Astyanax mexicanus: one gene and its partner. The protein of the gene in region 1 interacts with the protein of each later gene in a biochemical or structural test. Links are inferred from orthologs where the notes say so. Each region holds a gene or a part of one and is shown in the gene's direction. Other genes may lie near its edges. The genes, in order: pias2 and sumo3a.

What was found.
Region 2: the proteins of pias2 (region 1) and sumo3a form a complex in vitro, tested with the Homo sapiens proteins (2 studies listed by BioGRID, with this or other methods). The link is inferred for Astyanax mexicanus from reciprocal best matches to the Homo sapiens genes PIAS2 and SUMO3.

The regions. Positions count from the first base shown.
Region 1 is NC_064429.1:14,343,459-14,355,377, reverse strand, and holds the start of pias2 (E3 SUMO-protein ligase PIAS2), read left to right. Parts: upstream 1-7,280; 5' UTR 7,281-7,405; coding exon 7,406-7,429; exon of another isoform or gene 7,430-7,681; intron 7,682-8,478; exon of another isoform or gene 8,479-8,565; intron 8,566-9,000; coding exon 9,001-9,457; intron 9,458-10,131; coding exon 10,132-10,219; intron 10,220-10,353; coding exon 10,354-10,404; intron 10,405-10,504; coding exon 10,505-10,595; intron 10,596-10,693; coding exon 10,694-10,828; intron 10,829-10,916; coding exon 10,917-11,022; intron 11,023-11,235; coding exon 11,236-11,309; intron 11,310-11,419; coding exon 11,420-11,580; intron 11,581-11,919. UniProt on the Homo sapiens protein: Functions as an E3-type small ubiquitin-like modifier (SUMO) ligase, stabilizing the interaction between UBE2I and the substrate, and as a SUMO-tethering factor.
Region 2 is NC_064412.1:39,369,815-39,381,584, reverse strand, and holds sumo3a (small ubiquitin-related modifier 3-like), read left to right. Parts: upstream 1-6,824; 5' UTR 6,825-6,959; coding exon 6,960-6,980; intron 6,981-8,373; coding exon 8,374-8,502; intron 8,503-8,685; coding exon 8,686-8,757; intron 8,758-9,171; coding exon 9,172-9,234; 3' UTR 9,235-10,257; downstream 10,258-11,770. Other genes in the region: pttg1ipa (PTTG1 interacting protein a), read left to right, coding at 123-225, 1,696-1,761, 2,247-2,293, 3,330-3,376. UniProt on the Homo sapiens protein: Ubiquitin-like protein which can be covalently attached to target lysines either as a monomer or as a lysine-linked polymer. Does not seem to be involved in protein degradation and may function as an antagonist of ubiquitin in the degradation process.

The DNA.
Region 1 (11,919 bases):
GAGTGAGCAGACTTTAGCAACACACACCTACTACTGTCTCCAAAAACAATTATTAGTGTAAATGATTAACTAATCACTTATTCTTTTTTCTAAAGTTCTTTAGCGTGGTTTTAGCACTAATTATAAATTATAAATAATACATTAAGTACATATATAGACTTATTTCACAGTTTATATTATTCATCATCTGCTGTGCTCTCTAAATAGAACTGCTACAGATCACCATATGGTGCTTTGGCCCCACAGTTGCTGCTTTCATTAGTACCTGGTGTTGTGTTACTGTAAAGGTTGAAACAAAAAAAATGTTTCATCCATTGTTCTACTTTAGACTTTTTATAAAAGAGAAAAAAAATCACGAATACTGTTTGAACTAGCAAAACTTTCCTCCTACTTTCTTCAGAGCTCTTGTTTCCATGCTGCTGCCAGATCTTTCAGGTTCATTGTATGAAGATGGATGAGGGTTTTTGGCCTTTGACCATTACAAAAACAATCTGTACCTCTTGTTGATTAATAGAATATGAAACAGCGGAGTTATTTGGCTTTATAAATGTGGAAAAATGGGTCAAATATTGAATATCAAAAAACAAAAATTAAACAATAAAATTGCTTTGTAGAAGATTTTGGATTTTTAAGGTGAACAAGCAGCAGGAGTTTTCCTTTTTGGTAAGCAAGACAAATGCTGTAAATTCTCTTTCTATAAATGTAGTTGATAAAACTAAATAAAATAAAGTGTTTCATAGCTGAGGAATGTAATTTATGAATCAAATCAACAGATACACACAGATAGTGCCCTCTGCTGGATAAATGAAGAGGCTGCAAGGTTTTTTAATAACAATCAAAATAAGAAATTAGGAAGAATTTTAATTCAGATCAATATGAGTATATAACATGTATTTTGTGTAGCAGTATAGCTTATCAATTGCATATAAACACTGTGTAACAATGAATTTTTTTAATATTTAGAATGTTATTCTTTGCTTTAAAAACTTTTTGTATATTTAATACAGTTGTCTTTCATAGGTGTGGGCCTCTGTCTGCCATTTTCCCAGTGTGGGGGAGTTAAAGGCAAGGCTACTAGGATGCCAAATATAAGGCAAAATATGGACACTGTATTATCTAACTGTAGCACTAGAGCGTTAACAAGCAGCAGGTTAAAATGTAGATAACTGATGATAATCACAGCAGCCCTTTAACAGATCATGAGTGGAAAATTCACCTTTCTCTTTCTAACAAGCAGTTACAACTGCATATTTACTTTGATTTACATATTTAACTTTGATTTTGTAATATAACAACTTTATTCTCGAAGTGTACTGTTTTTAATTTTTAAGAGTTGCCCTAATACGCCATTGTAGGAGACATGAACAGTACTGGAATGAATGAAAAAAATTGTGAGCACGAATTAAAGAAATTGTTCACTCAAATTAAAGAAATCGTGAGCACGAATTAAAGAAATCGTTAGCACGAACTAAAGAAATTGTTCACTAAAATTAAAGAAATTGTGAGCACGAATTAAAGAAATTGTGAGCATGAATTAAAGAAATTGTGAGTACGATTTTAAGAAATGGTGAGCACGAATTTAAGAAATCGTGAGCACAAATTAAAGAAATTGTTCACTTAAATTAAAGAAATCGTGAGCACGAATTAAAGAAATCGTTCATTAAAATTAAAGAAATTGTGAGCACAAATTAAAGAAATTGTTCACTCAAATTAAAGAAATCGTGAGCACGAATTAAAGAAATCGTTCACTAAAATTAAAGAAATTGTGAGCACGAATTAAAGAAATCGTGAGTACGATTTTAAGAAATCATGAGCACGAATTTAAGAAATCGTGAGCACGAATGAAAAAAATCGTTCACTCGAATTGAGAAAATTGTAAGTACAAATTTAAGAAATTGTTCACTCAAATGAAAGAAATCGTGAGTACGAATTGCAAATCATTTACTCAAATTTATGAAAACATGAGAACAAAGTACAAATTGTTTACACAAATTAAAGAAAACAGCTATATTGTTCGCTCTATGTAATATTGTTTTATTCACGGCTTCTCCGTTTTCTCCATTTTTAAGTTTAAATTTAATTTAAAAAATGTTTTAAACACAGATTGATAAAGTTTACCTTTACTATACCACACATATATATATATATTACATATATTCCGTAATTTATTCAGGAATAGACACTCCCACAGTTTTGACCTGCTGTGCTGATGTTGCTCTGGGTCCAGCAGGACTAAACTGCTTTAAAAGTAAATATATGTTCTGATTGGTATGTTGCCAAAATAAATGGCATATTTCACTTAATGTAACAGAGTAAAAGTTATTTTATTTAATGAATTAAATAGAGTGGAGTTAAAGTAAAAAGTCACCTAAAATGGGAATACTTCAGTGAAGAATGTGTAAAAACGGTACAGTATCGAGTTACATTTGCTTTAATACTATTCACCACTGATTCAACGATGAAGCACAACTGGAAGATTATTTTCCAAGACTGGAAAATTATATTTCGGCTATTTTACATTAAAGACACAAAACTCCTTACCTAATTAAAATATACCACGTTTTTACATTATTAAAATGTTAGTAAATGTTTTGTGTACAAAACCATTTAAATTGGCTTTTTGGTTCCATATACAACCATTTTTTAAAAGGTTTGTTAAGGGATTGTAATCTGTTTTCTTACGAAGAACCAAGCAACCCATTACTTTAAGCAGCATAATGGAAAATTGTAATGTCTGAACCTCGAGCTCCCCCTACAGTCAGGAAGTGTAACTCACATGTAAGGTGTCTTCTAAAACAGGGGTTCTCAACCTTTTCTACGTTACGGCCCACCGTAATAATAATAATAATAATAATAATAATAATAATAATAATAATAATAATAATAATAATAATAATAATAATAATAATAATAATAATGATAATAATAATAATAATAATAATAATGATACTATCTAAAAAAACAGAGTATAATAAACTCTTGCTACCATATCTTTACCCTGAAACGGTGATTTAGGCTTTCCAAATATAGTACATGAACTTCTTACTGGAAACATGCTCTAATATTGTGCTTCTTTTGTCTTTTTACCTTTAAATATACACATAAGAATAGCACGTTTTGACATGGTAGCACAACACCTCCGTATGGGTATCTCCATGACGTTTTTTTAATTCAAATGAAGCAACAGGTGTAGTCAATCATAAGTTTAATATTTTTAATCAACCTCACTGTGATCTACAGTTCTATAAATCTGTTTTCAGCTTCTCCTCCGTGGTTGAAAGGCAGCTGTTCTGTGTGTGTGTGGGTGTGTGCGTGTGTGTGTGTGCGTGCGTGTGTGCGTGCGTGCGTGTGTGTGCGCGTCTTTCTTGCGGGCGCGCCTCATTAACACTAAAATTTAATTTCAAGTCGCGAGCCACAAAATATCGTTCTGCGGGCCGCAAATGGTCGGCAGGCCGTGAGTTTGAGCCCCCTGGTTTAAAGTGCTCACTACAGAGTACTGTCTCCCTCTGAGAATGAGCCAGCGGACCCCTAGAGCAGGGGTGTCCAAACTACGACCCGCGGGCCATTTGCGGCCCGTTTCCTGTTTTGGAGCGGCCCGCGAGGTATTTTAGAAATAGAATGAAAGTTGGCCCGCTGGTAAGCAGGTTTTTATAATGTGAGATTCAAAGTTGAACGCTAGGTGTCAGAAACGGGCCAAAGAGTCGGAGAGAGTGAAGTTGAAGCGCAGAAAAACGGACCAAAGAGTCTAAAAGCGGCGAGAGTGAAGTTGAAGCGCAGAAAAACGGGCAAAAGAGTCTAAAAGCAGAGAGAGTGTTCAGTTGTAGCTCAGAAAAACAGGCCAAAGAGTCTAAAAGTGGAGAGGGTGCGCAGTTTTAGCGCAGAAAACGGGCCAAAAGAGTCTAAAACGGAGAGGGTGCGCATTTCTAGCGCAGAAAAACGGGCCAAAGCGTCTAAAAGCTGAGAGGCTGTGCAGTTGTAGCGCAGAAAAATGGGCCAAAGAGTCTCAAGGGGAGAGGGTGCACAGTTGTAGCGCAGAAGAACAGGCCAAAGAGTCTAAAAGCGGAGAGGGTGCGCAGTTGTAGCGCAGAAAAACGGGGCTAAAGAGTCTAAAAGCGGAGAGGGTGCGCAGTTGTAGCGCAGAAAAACGGGCCAAAGAGTCTAAAAGTTGCCGTATTATAATATTAAGGAGTTTAATATTAAGAGACCTCATGAAATGAAACATCAATATGAAAAATCATAGTTTACACAACACTGTCAAAGATAGATAAAATTAAAGTAATCAGGAAAATGTATTATTTAAAGTGGTATATTTCATTATTTGTTTTATTACAGAGTCTGTGGCCCGTGACTTCAAATATATTTCTCCTTCTGGCTCCCAACAAAAAAAGTTTGGTCACCCCTGCCCTCGAGGGTGCTTCGCGCCCCCCCCCCCCCCGGTTGAGAAACCCTGTTCTAAAAGACACAGAGAGACAGAGCTAATGGTTTGGAGAGTCATGTCATCTGCTGGTGTTGCTCCACTGTGTTTTATCAAGTCTAAAATCAGTGCAGTTTTGTTTTCCCACAAAATCTTACAGCACTTCATGCTTCCCTCTGCTGACAACTTTTATGGAGATGCAGATTTCATTTTCCAGCAGGACTTGGCACACTGCCCATACTGCAGAAAGTACCAATTGGTCTTATATAATCAAAGTTTCTGAGACACTGATTTTTGGGTTTTATTGGCTGTAAGCCAATAAAAGAAATAAACACTTAAAATTGATCAAATATTTTTGAGATGGCCCTGTAAGGCTCTTAGGTGCAGGCAGGAGCTCTGGAGTGGTGTCAGCCAGCTGTTTACTCTCCACTGTAGCAAAAGATGCTCCACATATGAGCTGCTAACTCATCCATTTCCCTTTATAAAGCTACGAGTCGTCTCTCAAATATGGTGAAGAAGGCGACGTTTATACAAGTATCAATGTGTGCATGTGAGGCGTTTAGGAACAGATTTGTTCACATTACACACAGATCTGATCTGATCTGATCTGAGCAAAAAATCGGATTTGAGCAATGTGGTTTTAATGTGAATGTAGCCATATGTAACACTAATAATGAAGCACTAATAATATAATTTATATATTGATCACTGAAAACTGTATTCCTCAAACATACATTTTGATATACACAGAAAGCTCTACAAACATTTTAATCTAGTACTGCTGTAAATTAAATAAATTAAAATAGTACACCAAACAAGTTGTAGAAAGGAAATAAGAAAAAATATTGCTCAGAACTCAGATAAACACACAGGCCACAGATACTTCACAATGACAAAGTGAGTCTTCATTAATTCCTTGAGGAGATGCACCTGTGTTTTGTCACGATGGGCTTGAGGTGAGGGGCGGAGCCTATAGCCACCTGGAGCACATGGCTGGTGCATTCCCCACTGAGGCCAGCAGAAGGAGACATAACAACGGATCCAGAAGAACAAAAGAAATATGAAAAAAATATGCTGTAATAAACTCACTATATATTCCTCTGCCAATTACCCAAACCAATCATTTGGACTCCCCTATCACTAGTGAAGCGTCAACATCAGGAGGGTGAAGACTAGCACATGCCTCCTCCAATAAATGTGAATTCAGCTCTTGCCTCTTTTCAAACTGCACGCTCGGAGGAAAGCGCAGCGACTCGGTTCTGATACATCAGCTCTCAGAAGCCTTGTGCTGATCAACTTCAGCCTTTGGAGTAATGTGGGGTGAGAGACCGCCATCTACCCACTCAAAGAGAGCAAGGCCAGTTGTGCTCTCTCAGGGCTCCAGCAGCTAATAGCAAGCTACATGAACAGGATTCGAACCAACCCATGTATTGTTTATTCTGTATTTGACCTATATTTGCATTTCAACTACGATTTTACCATGCTTGACTCAATGTTTATGGTATGCTCTCTGCCCTTTGTGTTTGTTTTCTGTTTTTTACCTTGCTTGTTTCTGACTACGATTTTGGATTACCTTTTATTTTAATAATACTTTTATTATATTATTGTGTTGATCTCATCCCTGCCTGGCCCTGACACGGACAGAAAATACACGTTATATTAATAGTGGTCCACATAATACGTCATATTTTATGCAACAGCACTTTTTTGCTATGGAAATGACAATGAAGATTCTAGGAAGCTATAGGTGGGTAGGCAAAACTAGGCTTTTTCCAACAGTGATTTAATTAGCAAACATCTGAGTATGTGTAATTCAATCTGTATGAAAGTAGGTCAAGAGAGTCTGCTTATCTGGTTACTTACAGTAATCCAAAACTTTCCATCTGTTCACCACTGTAATGTGGGTTTACACTTTTCTCCTATACATAGCATACAGCCACCTGAAGACCAACACGTGTCTCACACGTGTCTCTAAAGCATCAGAATCACACACTATCACTATTTTCTTCACTGCATCTTTATTAAGAGTCTGTAGACTCTGCTGTTTGTAAAATCCTCTGTATGCAGTTAAACCTGTCCGGGTTCTCCGTGTGCACAATTTGTTTGCCAGACCTCAGTGTAGCTGGTGACTCGTGAATGAATCATTCTTTTGAACCGATTCTTTTTAGTTAAACGGAGAATCGATTCAGTTCATTGAGAGGAATCATATACGAAGCAAATACAGTAAATACGCCAGATTTAAGCCCTAATAATAATAATAATAATAATAATAATAATAATAATAATAATAATAATAATAATTATTATTATTATTATTATTATTATTATTATTATTATTATTATTATAATAGCATAAATAGAGCTGCTGCACTATATTATGGAGGAACTGCGTATTTTTTTAATTAGCTCTTCGCTGTGGTGTTTTCGTTCGTCATAAAGGTAAAAAAGCTTAGTGTGATGTTTTTATAAACAGGAACTTGTTTAAAACTGATTTCTCAAGAATAAAAAACTATAACTTATAGCAGTTAGTTCCAGTGATTCAAAAAGATCCATTTTGTTGTTTATATATTGGATTACTTTTATTTAATTATGCACTTTTTTAAATTATTGCGCTTGTCTCATTCTGCGCATCCACATCCAAGTATTTGCCCCATTACATATTTATTTATCAATCAAACTTTAATATCAGATAAAAATAATCTGAGTAAATATTAAAAGCACTGTTTGAATAATACTTTATTTGCCCTAAAGTTAAAGGGGAAGGGTTACACTCGAAAACAAGGGGAAGGGGTAAAGTGGTAGGGCCAAGGGTTAAATGGGATTGGGACTGAAGCAGCTTGTTGGTAGGAATGTGATGAATCAGAGGTTCGGTTCATTGTGGAAGGAGTCGGTTCAGCGGGGTGAATCACTGTAGCGGTGGTTTATCGGCTGTCGCTGCGAAGCTGAGTTCAACCCTGACCGGTCAATCGTCAGGATGAACCGAGCCAGAACATGGCGGATATTGAGGAGTTACGGGTAGGCTACAGTGTTGTGATAGCTGACAGTGGCTGTGTGCTTCTCTGAGCTCAGGGGAAGCTCGCTCTGCCCGCAGTGCTCTGCGGGCCACGGCTCGGCCTGCGGGTGGGAGTCAGAGAGCGGCGGGGTGGCTCAGAGCTGTAGGCCCGAGAGCTGCTGCTAGAGTCCCGCTAGAGAGAGAGAGAGAGAGAGAGAGAGAGAGAGAGAGCGAGCGAGCTGCTGCTGCTGCTGCTGCTGCGTTAGCATATCAAGGTGCATTGGCTTCGGTTATATTATTATTAATTTTAATATTATTAATATTATCTAAATGCTTTTGGTTTATGTGTTCAGTTTTCACAGTAAAGTGTTTGATAATTCTGTAGTTAAATGCTGTAGAGTGTCTCTTCGCTCGGGGCTCTTTTGTTGTTGTCTGTTAGCCTGTTAGCGGGTTAGCAAAGCTAAGCTAACAGCACTGCTACAAACATTTGCAAACCTAACCGTTAGCTTAAAGCTAAGTTACCTTACTAACATACAACTCAAGTTTTCGGGGATTTAACCTCCTAAATCTGAGTTAATTCTTTCAAATTGGTAGCTAATGGTTTTGGTAAAGCCATAGTTGGTGACTGACAGCTGTAGGTTAAGTTAGCTAGGGTGTGTTTAGCTATTTTAGCTAAGCTAGTAGTGTATTAGTGTTGATTTCTGGTCTCAGTGTTGTAGTTAGTTAGTTTTCCTCTTTATGTTGCTTTAAATTACTTAATTATACATGAGTAGTTATTTAAAACGCACACAGTGAGAAACTGCACACTAAGTCTGTATTTTTGCTTGTGACTTTAACCTCCCCTAGACTCTTCTTTCTTTGTCCTTGATGTTACAGGACTCTCATTCTTAATTATAATCTAATATCCTCAGTAAACATGCCATAAAGATTATCTAACTGTGGAAAAAATGTATTATACACACCAAATCTGACTGTGAAGTTTCATATTAACTCAAATGCCAAGTTAAGCCTGTTCTGTGTCTTGTTTACAATGTTTATCTAATGAGTTTTGGACTTATTCTCAACATTTTAGATGCAATTCGCGCACATTTGTAAAGGATTTTTAAAGAAAAAAGGATTAACAAGTAAGAACGATCAAGCATGGACCGTATGTTGAAGGGTCAGTTGAGATTTTCTTACTCTTTTGGGGAGTGGGGGTTCTGGCAGGGAAATGTTTGTGTGGGATGTCTTTTGAACAATGCATAATGTTACACTGGGGTAGACGTATATCTTTTTATATAATTTATATTTGTAAATGTATAGACCTTGATTTAGTCAAATGTGTATACAAAAACATCATAATTATATATACATATTGATTTCAAATCAGACTTCTTTATTGGGTATGATACCTCTTATTTTAAGCATTCCTCTTGTTTACTGTCATGCCTTTTTTGTTATATTTTATTAGACATTGAAACAGCCTAAATGTGTCATAGAATCACTTCTTTTTATCACCTGCTATAAATGCAAATTTACCTAACCAGACTTTGAACTTGTCCCTGTCACCTTTTTCAGTTGTTTGCCTTTATGGTTCTTTGTATTTGTTTTGCAGAATATGGTATCAAGTTTCCGTGTCTCAGAGCTGCAGGTACTGCTAGGTTTTGCTGGAAGGAACAAGAGTGGTCGCAAGCATGAACTTCTGCTGAGGGCTTTGCATTTGATAAAGAGTGACAGTAATCCTGCTGTGCAAATTAAAATCAAGGAACTGTATCGCCGGAGATATCCTCGAACATTTGACAGTCTTTCGGAGTTATCAAACATTAAGGCCTACTTTCAGACAGGGGACAGATCAACGGTTGTAAGTCCGGAACTTTCTCTTGGTGCTAGTCACTCAGACGTGGTGCATCAGCAGTTGGCCACCCGCAAATCACCAGCATTTCAGGACTCAAAGCCCAGGATGAACATGCAGCAGCCAAACCCACTTATGCCCCCTGTCCACCCGGACGTCCAGATGAAGTCCCTCCCATTTTATGATGTGTTGGATGTATTGATCAAGCCATCGAGTTTAGGTAATTTTGGTGGGGATTTTTATGGGCTCCTACAATGTCAAATATGCCAAACAATGATTTTAAAAGTATTTTTTTTATATAAAGTATATAATTTTATTTTTTAATACTATAATACGAAATGTGGCATTGTTAAAATATTTAACTATTTTAAATACATTATATTTTCATTAAAAATGCATCAAGAATGTTGGCTTGTACTTTATTTTTATCACTGTAGTGAAAAATCCTTGTACCTCAAAAATGGCAATTTTAAAGGTATAAAAAAAGTTTAAAAGTATATTTCATTTATCACATTCTTATTCAGTGCAGGCCAATTACGATAATTACGGTATTGACATATTGTATGTCAAAATTAAATAATATATTATTAAAATAAAATTAATTAAAATAATATATATATATATTTAAATACATGATACTGTGTGGGGGCTTTCTTTAAAATTATTGATTTTATATAATAGTCTTGGACTACAGAGTATTTTATACACACACACACACAAAATGCTGTGTTGTCCAAAACTAGGCTTAATCCCTGTGTTTGAAGTACCCCGCAGTATAAAAAAATATATGAATCATACCAAAACGGAAAAAAATGGGAGATGCAAGGTTTTGTCTGACAGCAGCGTAATTAAACTTAGTATCTAAATTATATTCTTGTACTTCTTTCCCCACAGGACCCAGTACTGTTCAGAGGTTTCATCAGGAAAAGTACTTCATCTTTGCCTTGACTCCACAGCAAGTGAGAGAAGTTTGTATTTCACGGTAAGAATTAAGAATGACTTAATTCTTGTCTCTTTAATTTTTTTTCTTGGTTTATTTCTTTTGTGGCTGATTTGGCTTGCTGCTGTTGATGATGTCTCTTATCCATGTATTTAAATTTGATTGTTTGTTAAAAGGGATTTCCTTCCTGGTGGGAGAAGAGACTATATGGTTCAAATACAGTTACGGTAAGGATGACTCTCAATTTAATGTTGTGTAGTTTATGAAGCTGTGATATTGGTCCTCGAGCTTACTACTACTTCTTTTTTTTGGTTTGTTTGTTTACAGGTTCTGCCTTTCAGAGACCAGTTGCCCTCAAGAGGACAACTATCCCAACAGTCTTTGCATCAAAGTCAATGGGAAGCTCTTTCCTTTACCAGTGAGTAATTAGATGTCTCTCATACTTCATCAATTAGGATGTAATGTGGATGTGAAAATGAGCAGATTTGATGTTTCTTTTTTCTGCGTTTGTGCTAGGGCTATGCACCACCTCCTAAGAACGGTGTTGAACAAAAGAGGCCTGGAAGGCCTTTGAACATCACGTCTCTCGTCAGATTGTCCTCTGCAGTACCCAATCAGATATCAGTCACGTGGGCACCTGAAATAGGAAAGGTAGGCAGATTAATAAATAAAAAACAATGTTTTGATTTAAGTTTAAATGTTTGATAGTTGTACCTAATTTTTTTATTTTTTCCCCCAGACATATTCCATGTCCGTTTACTTGGTACGGCAGCTGACGTCACCGTTGCTACTGCAAAGATTACGAATGAAAGGGATCAGAAACCCTGACCACTCAAGAGCACTAAGTAAGAATTCTTAATATACAAAGATTGTTTAGTATTTAAAAGAAGAATAACAGCATTTCCTGTACAGGAAATATTTTAAATTCTGTCCTGTTGATTTATTTTGGGATGTTTTCTGTGCTTTTTATTCATAGTGCTTTGTCACTTGTTGTTGGGGGATTATTTCTCAGAATCATTAATGTAATTAAAAATACTCACTTTCTGTCATGTTTTTAGTAAAAGAAAAGCTCACAGCAGACCCAGACAGTGAAATAGCTACAACCAGTTTGCGAGTGTCCCTCATGTGCCCAGTAAGTTCTGAAGGTTTTATATATTTTATCTTTGCAAAATATTTTTTCATATTTTAACATGCCTTTTTGAATTGCGTTTGTATTACTAATTAAAAAATGTTCTTTCACAGCTCGGAAAGATGCGCCTCACAGTTCCCTGTCGAGCGGTTACCTGCTCTCACCTTCAGTGTTTCGATGCAGCTCTGTACCTGCAGATGAATGAAAAGAAACCCACCTGGATCTGCCCTGTGTGTGACAAGAAAGCCACATATGAGAGTCTGATCATTGATGGGTAAGTACTGTATGTCTTGGTTGTTTGCAGGCATGGTTTGGATAATGAAATTTGCAACTTACCACGGTTAATTCCAAAATTGGTTGGCCGTCATTAACGGTACACAGGGAAACACATTGGTTGATTTTTATTTATAAGACACTCTCCGGTCATTTGCCAGAATACATCACTTCATTGATGAATGTAAACAGCAGTAATTATCAGACTCGCTCTAGTGATTGGATCAGCTGTCAGGTTCCAACAAGCTGAAATTCACTTCAGAAAACTTTTAAACTCAGCTTACTGGTGTCACTCAGTCATTTTAAACTTTTAATATCTAATTTACCTTCAGAGAGCCTG
Region 2 (11,770 bases), on another chromosome or scaffold:
TTGGATCTGCTGTTGCTGCACTGAAGTTGTTAACCAAATTTTTAAAAAGGTGGTGTATAGTGTGATATGAGTGTATGTTCAAGTTATTTAAATTTTATATTTGTATTTTTTTTCAACTCCAGTGAACTTCCAGATTTTGATCATTACGGTGTCAGTGGTGGCGGGGGCGCTCATCATCGCCTTCTTCTTCTGCCTGTTCTGCTGCTGCAAGTGTGAAAACTGCGGGTAAGTGCAGCCAAGGCCAGCAACGGCACATACAGCAGCAATTCCAAATACAGAAGGCTGTTTTGGCCTGTATCGAGCAGTGCAGACCTATAGCCTAACAAACTCTGACTGCTCTATTTACATGTAATTTGATTCAGGAAGTGGTGCGCTCAGCTTGTTCCAGTTTAAAAGGAATAGGCCAACTGAATATCAGCTGATTTTAGGAGCATGTGGGAGGGCTTTTTTTGTGTCAGCAGTGAATTGTGGATGACAAAATTAATCAAAATAAGAAAATATGTAGTGAAACCTGCAGTCATTAACATGTCTAAAAAATATTGATGCTGACAGATGAAAACCTTGTATTTATTATTATTATTTTTTTTTTTTACTTAATTTGAATCTGGTAGTTGTTCTTTCAATGTTTGTAAAATTTCATGATGAGCAATGATGACCAATAGATGCTATTTTTAATAAATTGTTTAGTATTAGTACCTTATATCACTTAGAGGCACATCAATATATCATGAAAAAAACACTAATTAATTACAAACTACTACATAAAAAGTGTACATTTGTTCATAAGTTGAAATCTGAAATCTTGCTTGAATGAGATGGAGTAAAGTAGAGCTAAGTAGAGTGAGGTAAAGTGAAGCAGAGTGAGGTACAGTGAGGTAGAGTAACGTAGAGTGTGGCAAAGCAAGGTAGAGCTAGATAAAGAGCTAGGTGCAGTGAGGTACAGTAAGGTAATGTAAGGTAGTGGAAGGTAGGATGAGGATGATCGAAAATTATTGTGTGCTTTTTACATTGCCTTTATAATATTAATGACTTGTACGAGATTTTCGGAGGATTGTGAATTTTAAGCTTATATTCTCACTAGGGCTGCAACGATTAGTCAATATAATCGACAATGTCGATAATTTAAATTTGTCAACTACAAATATAATTATCGACTAATCGTTAATTTGTAATAGTTCCACATTACATAAAAGTTTTGGAGACAGGACCGCAATAGGAGATTGGAGAACTTAATCTGTCTCCAAAAGTGCCCAAACTCAACAAATTACATATTTAGTCACTAAATATCAAACATCCAGACATGCCTTTTAAATCTCATGTTCAGGTGTTTCTATCGTTTTTAGAGATGGAGGACATAAAGCAGAATAATCGTTGACTAATCTACTAATTGAGAAAATTATCATCAGATTAGTCGACTACCAAAAAAATTATTAGCCCTAATTCTCACACACATTTACATAATGCACAACCACTTTCATGTTTTATTCTTTAGAAATCTGTGACTGTTGACTTCTAGTGTTGATTAGCTAAATTAGCAGTGCTAATCTAAAGAAGCCAGACTAGAGCACCAAATGTGTTTTGGCTAATCACAGTTGGGGTTAATGGAAAATTGATTTATTTTAAATAAGTCAACAAAACTGTTGAAAACATTGTTTCTAATTTCCCTTTACCTGCTGTGTGTTCTAACCCCGTTAGAAGCTCCAGCTCTGAGAGCAAGATGCAGCGGCAAGCAGACAAGAGGAGCACCAAACAGGAAAAGCGGTACATTTACCAAACCGACTGGATTATTTTTTTTTTACTGTGTTTAAAGGCCATTTGGTAAAATGTTTGTACACTCCTGTAAAGCCCATGAATCAATTGACCATGGACAAATTAGCATTTTTCATTTACATTTCAATATACAACACTTTACAGTCATTAATGGTTATTTTACCTATGAAAGGTAATTCACAGATAATTCCAATGTTCTTACGCATAATAATGTCCAAGTTACACCCACACACTCACGCATACACACACACACACTGCCTTTATATATCAGCCTCTGCATATCTTCAGAACAAAGGGAAAAAAAGTGCTGCTGTAAAGTTGGTCGTCACTAAAAATGTTCCAGTACAAACCGGTTTGGCAGCCATGCTGGACTGAGATAATCTACAGACTTGTCTGTCTGTATATGTGTGTGTGTGTGTGTGTCTGTGTATCTGTCTGCATGGATTTACAATAAGAATATATTTGCTCTTTTACAGGAAAGCTGAGATGAGAGTGCGACATGATGAAATTCGGCAGAAATATGGTAAGCAGTGTCATAAGTGATGCCCCCTCACACACTGATGCTTCACTGTATGAACATGTACAGATTATCATTAAAAGAACCTTCCTCCACCCTCTATAGAAAACCACGTTCATTTCATTTAATCAGATAAAATGAAAATTGAGGTCTAACAGAAGTCTGCTAAAGAGACTGACATTCAGTAAACTGCTACTTTAACAGACTACTTTAGGTGAACCATGTTTTCATCAAATGTTAATTTTTGCTAAAATGGTTCATCCTGTCTTACAATGACAAGGTGAAAATTGCAGCAAAAATAAACATTTGACGAAAACATGGTTGACCTAAAGTTACAAACATGTTGTTTTGTTCATGGCACCCTTTTTAGTTTCAAAGATCAATTTGGATTTCCTAAAATTGTGTTAAATACCTTGACATTTTAACATGACAGCTTGAACATCTTCAGCTTTACCCCAGTTCAATATGGAGAGTGTATGAATAATATTAAGTGAAATTAATGTTATTAATTGCTGATTAATAAATCTGATATCAAAAGTTAATTTCTTAAAGGGCCAGAGTTTTCCCAAGATGACAGGGTGGGCATGGAATTCTTAGCTTAATATTTTTATAAAAAAAGGGAAATAGCTAAATGAATAATTGAAATAAATATTGTGTTAATTAACGCCTTAGAATAATTATTTAACGTAACGTGGCACGTAACTGTGGACATGACGTAGGTGGCCTTTAAACAAAAGAAGCTAAATTAGAGCTCCAATTGTCACCCCTGTGGAAGGCTAGTAAGCATATTACAACAGATATAGTGATGGTTATGTTTGTCAGTTTTGCTGGAGTGCCTCTTTAAACAGAAAAGCGCATGTTTGTAATGTAATTATTTTTAAATTAACAGTCCACATTTCCTCAGCCTTCAGGTCCACTCACATCCATTATGTACTTTTTCCCAGGGCAGTGCTAAAGTAAACATGCACTCAGAATGTGATATGGCAACAATATTTCTCTTTCTTTCTCTCTCTCTCTCTCTCTCTCTCTCTCTTTCTCTCAGGTCTCAGTAAGGCCAGCCCTTATGCCAGGTTTGAGAATGCTGCCTGAGAGGAGCTCCTGAGTGAACCTTCAAAACCTTTGCAAACTGCCTTTAATGACTTTTACTTTGATGCTGCTGTCTGATAATGTCTGATTTTATTAGCTGAGTCATTATCAAAATACTGTGCCTTTTTGGCCCTGAAGACAAAAAAAAACATTACTTAAGATTTTTCATTCTTTCGACAATTTTTAATCAGTTTAATTTCTAAACGTATGACTTCAGATTACACAGAAATGTTTTCACAGGATGTCTTCTAGTTTAATCAGTTTTTATTTTCATTTTTTAATATTATAATTAATGTAATATTTTACCCGTGACAGGGTAAACAACAGCTTTTCCTCAGCGAAATATGAAGACAATATAAGATATATAATGTAAATAGCTGAATATTTTTATGAAAATAACAAAATGAATAATTTAATTTGTTTTTATTTCACTGTGCCACAAAAGGCACCTTATACTGATAGTGACCCATTGCCCCAAACTATAGGCCACATCATACTAATAGTTTTCTGTACACTGATTTTTATGAGCTCAGAATCTTTAAAGGGTTTAGTGGAAATGTTTAGTTGGGACTTTCTTAATTTAGGACAGGGGTGTCCATTCTTATCTGCAAAGAGCCAGTCTGGCTTTAGGTTTTCATTTTCAGCCAAGGTGAAGCTCTTGTTTTCACTAGTTTGCAGACAGACCAGTTGATGAAACCAGTGTGCTGCTGGTTGTTTATAGTAAAACAATGGATTGGACACCTTGATTAAGATTTCTCTGATTTATTGCTATTTATGTTAATCAACAGCAATACGTTCCTATGTATTGTAGGTTTGACTGAGAATATGGAAAATAAAAATAAAATCTTTTTTTCTGTGAATAGCTGTGTTCCTTTTTTATGATTTCATTGTTTGATCGTTATTTTAGAACTGAGTTTGTTTGCCTTCAGAGAAAGAACAAAATTAACTACAGATAAAATCCAGCTAAGGACCAGCAAGAAGATGAAGGCGGTTGAAAAGATGGCCAGTCTGGGGAAAAACACACAGTATACTGTACGAAAACTGGTAAAGCTTGTTAACACCAACTTAGCTCTTAACCACCTTAACACAACTGACAAAGCTGGTCATACTGGTTGACTAATCTGTTATACTGGTAAACCATCTGAGTCATGCTGGTCAACCAGCATTATTATGCTGCTAATTCTAATTGACTAGTGTAGTTTTGGTGATCATCCAGCTTGATTAAGCTGCTTGACATGACTGTTTGTCAAGCCTGTTTTTCATGCTGGTCCTGGAGATCAGCCAGTAAACATATAGGTTGACTAACCTGCCAAGTTGGGAGACCACATAAATTCCCTGAAGTCCAGAGCTAAACTGGTTAATGTTTGTTATGCTTTTCAAGGGCATTAAGCAGTTGTTGACCTGTCTATCAGAATGTAAAAAAATATATATGAGAGCTTTTCAAGAAGATTAATTCAGCTGAAATGAATGAAGTGGTTTAAAAATCAGAACTTTTTCAAGATTATGATGGTAAAGTTGGGAATAAGTATTTTTAATAATATAAAACTGTGTAGCAAGTGTATAAATTAATGTACATATGTTTTAAATTATTACATTTATTAAATTATTATACATTCAATATAGGACAATATAATAAAGTCAAATGTCAAGAAATGATTAAAACAAAAACTAAAATGAATGCAAATACATAATTACAGTATACAGCATATAGTGTCTAGAAAAGGTATGTGAACCCTTTGGAATTTCATGGTTCAATTGGTAGCATAAATTTGTCACAAAATGTTATTTGATTCAGAATAATGGTATTAAAAATATGATATACCTAAAATAATTATTATATAATATATAATAATATATATATAAAATTAGAGTCAAGCATTAGCACTTGGACTAATGCTAGTTTAAAGGTGTGGACTAGAGCTACTTTGATAAAATCCATTTAAACTTTTTGATTTTGCTCTGCACAAGAAGGATACCTATATCTGAGCAATGCTGTGCCAAAAAAGAGCTTTCAGAGAATCAAATATTAAAAAATGTTGATTTACATAATGTAAAAAAACATAAAGGAATTACTAAAAGCACATTGAAGCTCTACCTTGGTACTGGAAAATATTTTATTGACAGATAACACTAAAATTAAACTGCTTTGCTGCACTAAATCTGATATAAAATGTCACTGCACATCACCATAAAAACATCCTTCCAACTTCCAAAGTAAGGTGGAGGGAATATCAAGATCTGGATGAATTCCCGAGTGTATCAAACAATTTTACAGGAGTAGAAGTTGGGTAATGCAACAGGACAGTGACCCAAAACCCCAGAGCAAGTTCACAACAGAATGGTTTAAGAAAAACAAAATCCACCTTTAGGATGGGCCAAGTCAGATCTCAGATGCTATGGATTGAATTATGTGATATTTTAGGCACAACATATTTTTCAATGCTAATTTAGATGAAGATCAGATCATATTTTAAGACAAATGTATAAGCAGATTTGTGAACCAAAGGGTTCACATACATTTTTTCCACTTTATGTTTATAATTTAATATGTCATTTGTTTATATCATTTCAATTTTTAAGAATTAGGCAACGAGTATAACTGTTGTATTATGGTATTTTTCATAAAATTGTATTAATATTAATATAAAGGCAGCAGACACTGTTTTGCAAGTTTATAAAATCATTTTACAGATTTTAAATAATTCAAATAAAATATCCGAACTTATTTAAATTTGAATTTTAAGAATTGTCAAATGTCAAGGCATGGTTGAGAAAATAACAAAAATACATGCAAATACATTATTACAGTATATAGCTTATGCTTATCAATTCATTCAGCACTTGTTAACATAATTTTTATTTACTTATTTATTTAAAAAAAACGTTTTTATTGTATTTATTGTATTGTATTTTACAGAAAATAGTTATTAAGGTAGATATATAAACAGATAATAATAACAAATATATAAAATCATTTTACTGCTCTGACATAAGGCATGGTTTGAAAATCTGGGATCAATAAATTATCATTTATTCATTATTATTATTATTATTATTATTATTATTATTATTATTATTATTATTATTATTATTATTATTATTATTATTATTATTATTATGGCGGCCTATTTGTGTGCAGGTCCAAATCGCTTGCCCCTAGTGGCGGAGAAAAGAATGACTAAATTGTTCATTAGACACAGAAAACCCACAGACACAAACGTCACGTGTAAAAAATCAATTATATTCGGTATCTATCAATAGGCCTGTCTTCAATACGGACCAGTTTAACTTAAAATATTAATAATCCTAATTTAATCCGTGGGTTTGAGCGGGGCCGCGCCTTTTTGTCTCTGTGCGCGCGACCCCGTTTTTCTTGTTTCTTTTTTTTCACTCCTCCCCCCAGAAGAAAGAGGCGCGCACGGGAACGCGCGGCGCGCTCCCGCCCAGACTGGAACACGTGACTCTGTGACGCCCAATCAGGGCCGAAGGAGGTAAAGAGAGGCGCGTGCTCGTGGCGGCCGGGCGGACAGTAGCGAAATCACACAAACACGGTGAGCGGAGATCAGCAAGAAAACCCGCGGAGAAGATGTCTGAAGATAAGCCCAAGGTGAGCCGAGAGCCGGGTGTCCGTGTGGGGAGCAAGTGTTCGGGGGAGAGGGAAGGAAGAAGAGCGCGCGCGGAGGGAAAAGCGCCGGTTCAGTGTTATATTCAGAGTGCGCTCGGCAGGCTGCGCATTTGTGCGGGAAAATGGAAGCCAGCGTGCGGCCGCGGGGTTTTTCCATTCTCCCGCTACATTTATAAAACCCGGTTATTCCGCGGGTTCTTTAAATATTTCAGGGAATTAGACACAGGCGGACGGTCGTCCATTGAAAGCGCGCCGTTGTTTACCTGCTCTGCGCCGTTTTTCCGTCGCCGTGTGAGAAGCAGCGTCGAGCTTTGCGGCTTTTCCTTTGTGAAAGCGGAGAAGTGGCGCTACGAGAAGAAGCGCAACGGGCCGCTGACTGGAATCGACCGAGTTTATTCATCATGAGCCTCTTAATTGGTTTAAATCGTGTTAAAATGCTCGTTAATTTAAACGGGGAGGGTGAAGGTGAGCGGGTTGTTTGGGAGCTGATTTTAGGTGCAGGCTTTTAGCTGCACCAGATGCGAAAATGGCGCACGGCGGCGGCGGCAAAGAGCCTCAACGACGCGTCTCCTCACTGAGAGCTGGGTAGTGTAGCGGTTAGCCACTTAGCTAATGTTAGCTACCGCCGTGTTTCAGCTCGCTTCATGTTGTTTTGTGAGGCTTGTTGCTGTAATGGCCAGGTTCTGGTGTGTTTAGCTGTAAGCTAGCTTTCACTTTATGAGGGGAGCTTTGCAGTGTGAGGCTTATGGAGGGAAAATAAGCTAGCGCCTCTCCATTTTCTCACACCCCGAGCTCTTTAGATAGCATTAAGAGCGCTTAAACAGGAAAGGGCGAATCTGCGCAGTTTCACCACTTTTTAATCGCTGTATTTAACGCTAGCTAGTCAGTTTTCGCTAATGTCTGACTGTATCTGTGGGGAGATGTTAGCTAGGAGATGCTATTAGCTCAGACAAAAATAATGGTAGCTAGCATTAGCTAACATAGGTTAGTTAACCAAGCTAACGCTAGTTAGCTAATTGAAACAACCATTCAGCCCATTCTGGGTTCATCCATTTCCTTAAGTTGCCAGTTTTTATTTCTGCTTCTCAGTCTGGTTTTCAGGAAAAGATATGAGAAAATGGTATCCAATCTACTTTTTGTCTTTCTGTTTTTGGTACATAAAGTTAGCCACATTTACTGAACCACAGAACACCTTTACCACTTTCTGAACAGCTTTTATAAACATGTGATTAACCACATCCGTCCATGGTATCACTCAGAATGGTTACCCTGACGTTTGCAATAGAACATGTTAACATTTTGTATTTGTATATTCTAACCAATAGAAGCTGCTTACATGTCTCATTGTTACATTTCCCCCTCTTTTCTCTTACAGGAGGGAGTGAAGACTGAGAACGATCACATCAACTTGAAGGTGGCTGGGCAGGATGGATCAGTGGTCCAGTTTAAAATCAAAAGGCATACACCCCTCAGCAAACTAATGAAAGCATACTGTGAAAGACAGGTGTGTGCATGCTTGCTTGTTTGTGTTTTTTGACTTTTGTTAATAGGTGGAAAAGAGATTGGTGATTGCATATTTTGCCTTTTATATATGTTTGTTTTCTTCTCTTTAATGCGGTTTCCATTGTTACTGTGTATGCATGCATGGTCTTGAGCTGCACTAATGTTTTATTTTTTGTTCTTGCAGGGGTTGTCAATAAGACAGATTAGGTTTAGGTTTGATGGACAGCCAATAAACGAGACAGACACGCCGGCACAGGTGAGCATATAAGGATTACCTTTGTCCCACAATGACTAAATCACAGCTTCACCACAAATTGTATAGATTACTTATAAGTAGATAAAATGTACAAAAATTAGCTCATGCAGTCTGAAGTGTAAAAGCTATGTCAACTTTACGCTAGCTTAAGGAATAGAATCCAGAAATTTATGTAAAAATTAACTAAACTCTAACATTTTGTTATTTATGAATCTGTCCTCTTGGGTGCCCCTAAATATTCCAGTACATTTGTTGCAGCCAACTGCTATCTTATTGGCTTAATGTCTCTCTGAGCGAATTTAAGGTTAATTATAAACTATTGTCAAAATTTGGGATTTTTTTGCTCTTTTCTCTTATGTTTATTTACTTTGATCAGTTGTATCCAGTTGGTTTAATATGTTTTCTTTCTTGCAGTTGGAGATGGAGGATGAGGACACTATCGATGTATTTCAACAACAGACAGGCGGTTCTCGCTAAACCTATTCGCGCAGCGAGCTCCCACTCGGCTGTTTTATTTGACATGTTTTCCTCTAAATGCTCTCTTTAACTGTACTGTTCATTTCCCTTCTTTGCCAGTTATTTGAAAGTCCTCCCTAGTTTTCATAGGGTGGGACCAGGTTTTTTGTTTTGATTTTTTTTTTTTTTTCTTTTCATTCCCCCTCCCACTTCACTCTTTCAGTATGTAATCATGTCTGTGAGATGACAAATGTGGCTGCAGGCAAAACTAAGATGGCTGCCCTGAGGTATAGTTCAAAATGGCCATCTGAACTACTTGTTGCGTCTCTCAGTGTGTAATACTGGCCAGAAAGTCGGGCCATAGTTGCCTGTCCCGCCATTCTTTCCATTTTGAAATATAAATGGTCTATGCCCATATTGTCTATATTCTGCAGAATGAGGATCTTCCCCCTTCTGTGTCATGCAGCTTTAAGTATCTTTTAAGCCAGGATCTATTTTATGTCTGTAAGCTGAAGAGATGCCCACCCTGCATTCTTTGTTTGTTTCTCCACATTTATTTTAAAATGAACTGCCTCACTCAAGAAGTAACAAAGGGGGATGGGATTGAAGGGAACTTTCTTCCTCCCTCAGAGGAGAACCCTGGTCCGGTAGTGTAATAAGTGGTGAGGATCAGGATACTGGACCAAACCCTGAAGAGAACTAATGCAAAGTCCAGGTTTTTATTACAAATATCTATCAAGACCCTGTTTATTCTCTTGAATTTACAGAGAGGACAGAAATTGACCATTTTGATTTTTATAGTCCCAATGTCTACTGCCTTGTTAAAGCTAAAGGGAATTGCTGTCTCCAGAGAGGAAAGGTCTAATTTATCCTCCCCTCCCCCCAAAACTTGTTTCTCACCTCCTGCTGTGTGGTCCAGCAGACTGGTATCTGTAAGGGTTGGGCTGAATCAGCATCCATGTGTTCTCCATCTTTCTGTACTGATTTGTACATTATTTGTTGTCCTTTACTACTGTATACAATAAATATAGTTTGGTACTCAGATTGCTGATGTCTTGTTTATTATGATTGTGGTGGATCTAATGAGGAAACGAGTATGTGCGTGACATGTTTTATTTGATGGCAATTTTGAGAATACCATTACATGGTGCTTTATGTAGTCAGAAAATGCTTGCTTGAACATGCTCTCGCTGTGTGTGGTGATTACCCAAAAACATCAAAGAAAGCACATCCAATCCCTCATTGCACACTACCCACATAGTCCGTGTACTAGGCAAGCAAAAATTACATTTGATTAAAAAAATTAATGAAGCATTATTAGTATTAATGTTAAATCTATTCCCATCTGCCTTTTTGTATGTTTTTTTATTTATTTTTTACTACATATAGAGAGCAAGGCATTTTTGTTTGTTTTATTTTAACAGATGCCCTGTCATTAAGTATGTTAGTTGATCATTTGTGGTACAAGGAATATGTTGGGAGGCATTACCACCCACAGCAGCATGTGGTTAGAGTTGTCTGCAAGTGTTTTTGGCAAAAATCTTATTCATATTCAATGCCTGAGGCAACACAACCATATTCTGCAGATCAGTGCAGCTTGCTTTAGTTTTTTTGAAAATGGCAAAAGTCATGGGACAGGAACCGTAGCATGTTGATGCATTTTTTCTAACTGATGATGTACACAGGCAAGCACAAATTGTTCATATTGCACAGCAGATCTTCAAAAAGATTTTAATATTTAACATACAGTTAATATTTGTACAAACCAACCTTGAATGTGTTGTTCAATACAAAAGCAATATAAAAAAGCAAAAGTATAAATAAAATACAGCCTTTTTGTGTATAGTTATAAGTAGCTTCTCTTTTAACATCCACTCTGAAGGACTGGATAAAGTAAGAGCACACGATCTACAGTAACTGGAATAGAGAACTAAACATTTGTGCAAAACAATGATATGAAGGGAAAACCCCAATTGCCTAGGTAATCAAGTGTTGTGTCAATTTACCAAGTGTGTTCAACATGTCAGCAGTTATCTAGATCTATAATTACTGTTGTGGAGTCTGGATTTGTGGCACTTGTGATGTAGATTCTGTTGGTTAGCCTTTGGACATTTTTTTTTTTTCAATTTCGTCTTTATTGACCAACCATTTCATGTGTTTACTTTGCCTGAAATAAACAAACACGCAACAGTTGGACTGCTCCACTGGTTTTCTCCTAGATGCCCCTATTAAACATGTAAATGGCTTCTGAGTAGAAGAGTCAACAGAGAACGGCTTCTGAGGGCCTTTCCAGACTGTGTTGCACTATAATTATTAAACATTCATCTTTTTTTCCCAAAAAAATGATTCTCCCTTTGTCAGTCTGAATAATAGAATCTTGTGCTGCATTCCATCTGAGTTTGGATGTTGGAATTTCCTTGATCTTGGTTCTTAGTTCAAATGTAAAAATTGGTGTCAGACGGTGGTGCAATTATCTAGTTGGATAAAAAAAAATCTTTTTCCTCAGCTTTTATAAATTAGATAGTGTTTATATTCTTTGAAAGTTTTAAAATTTGAT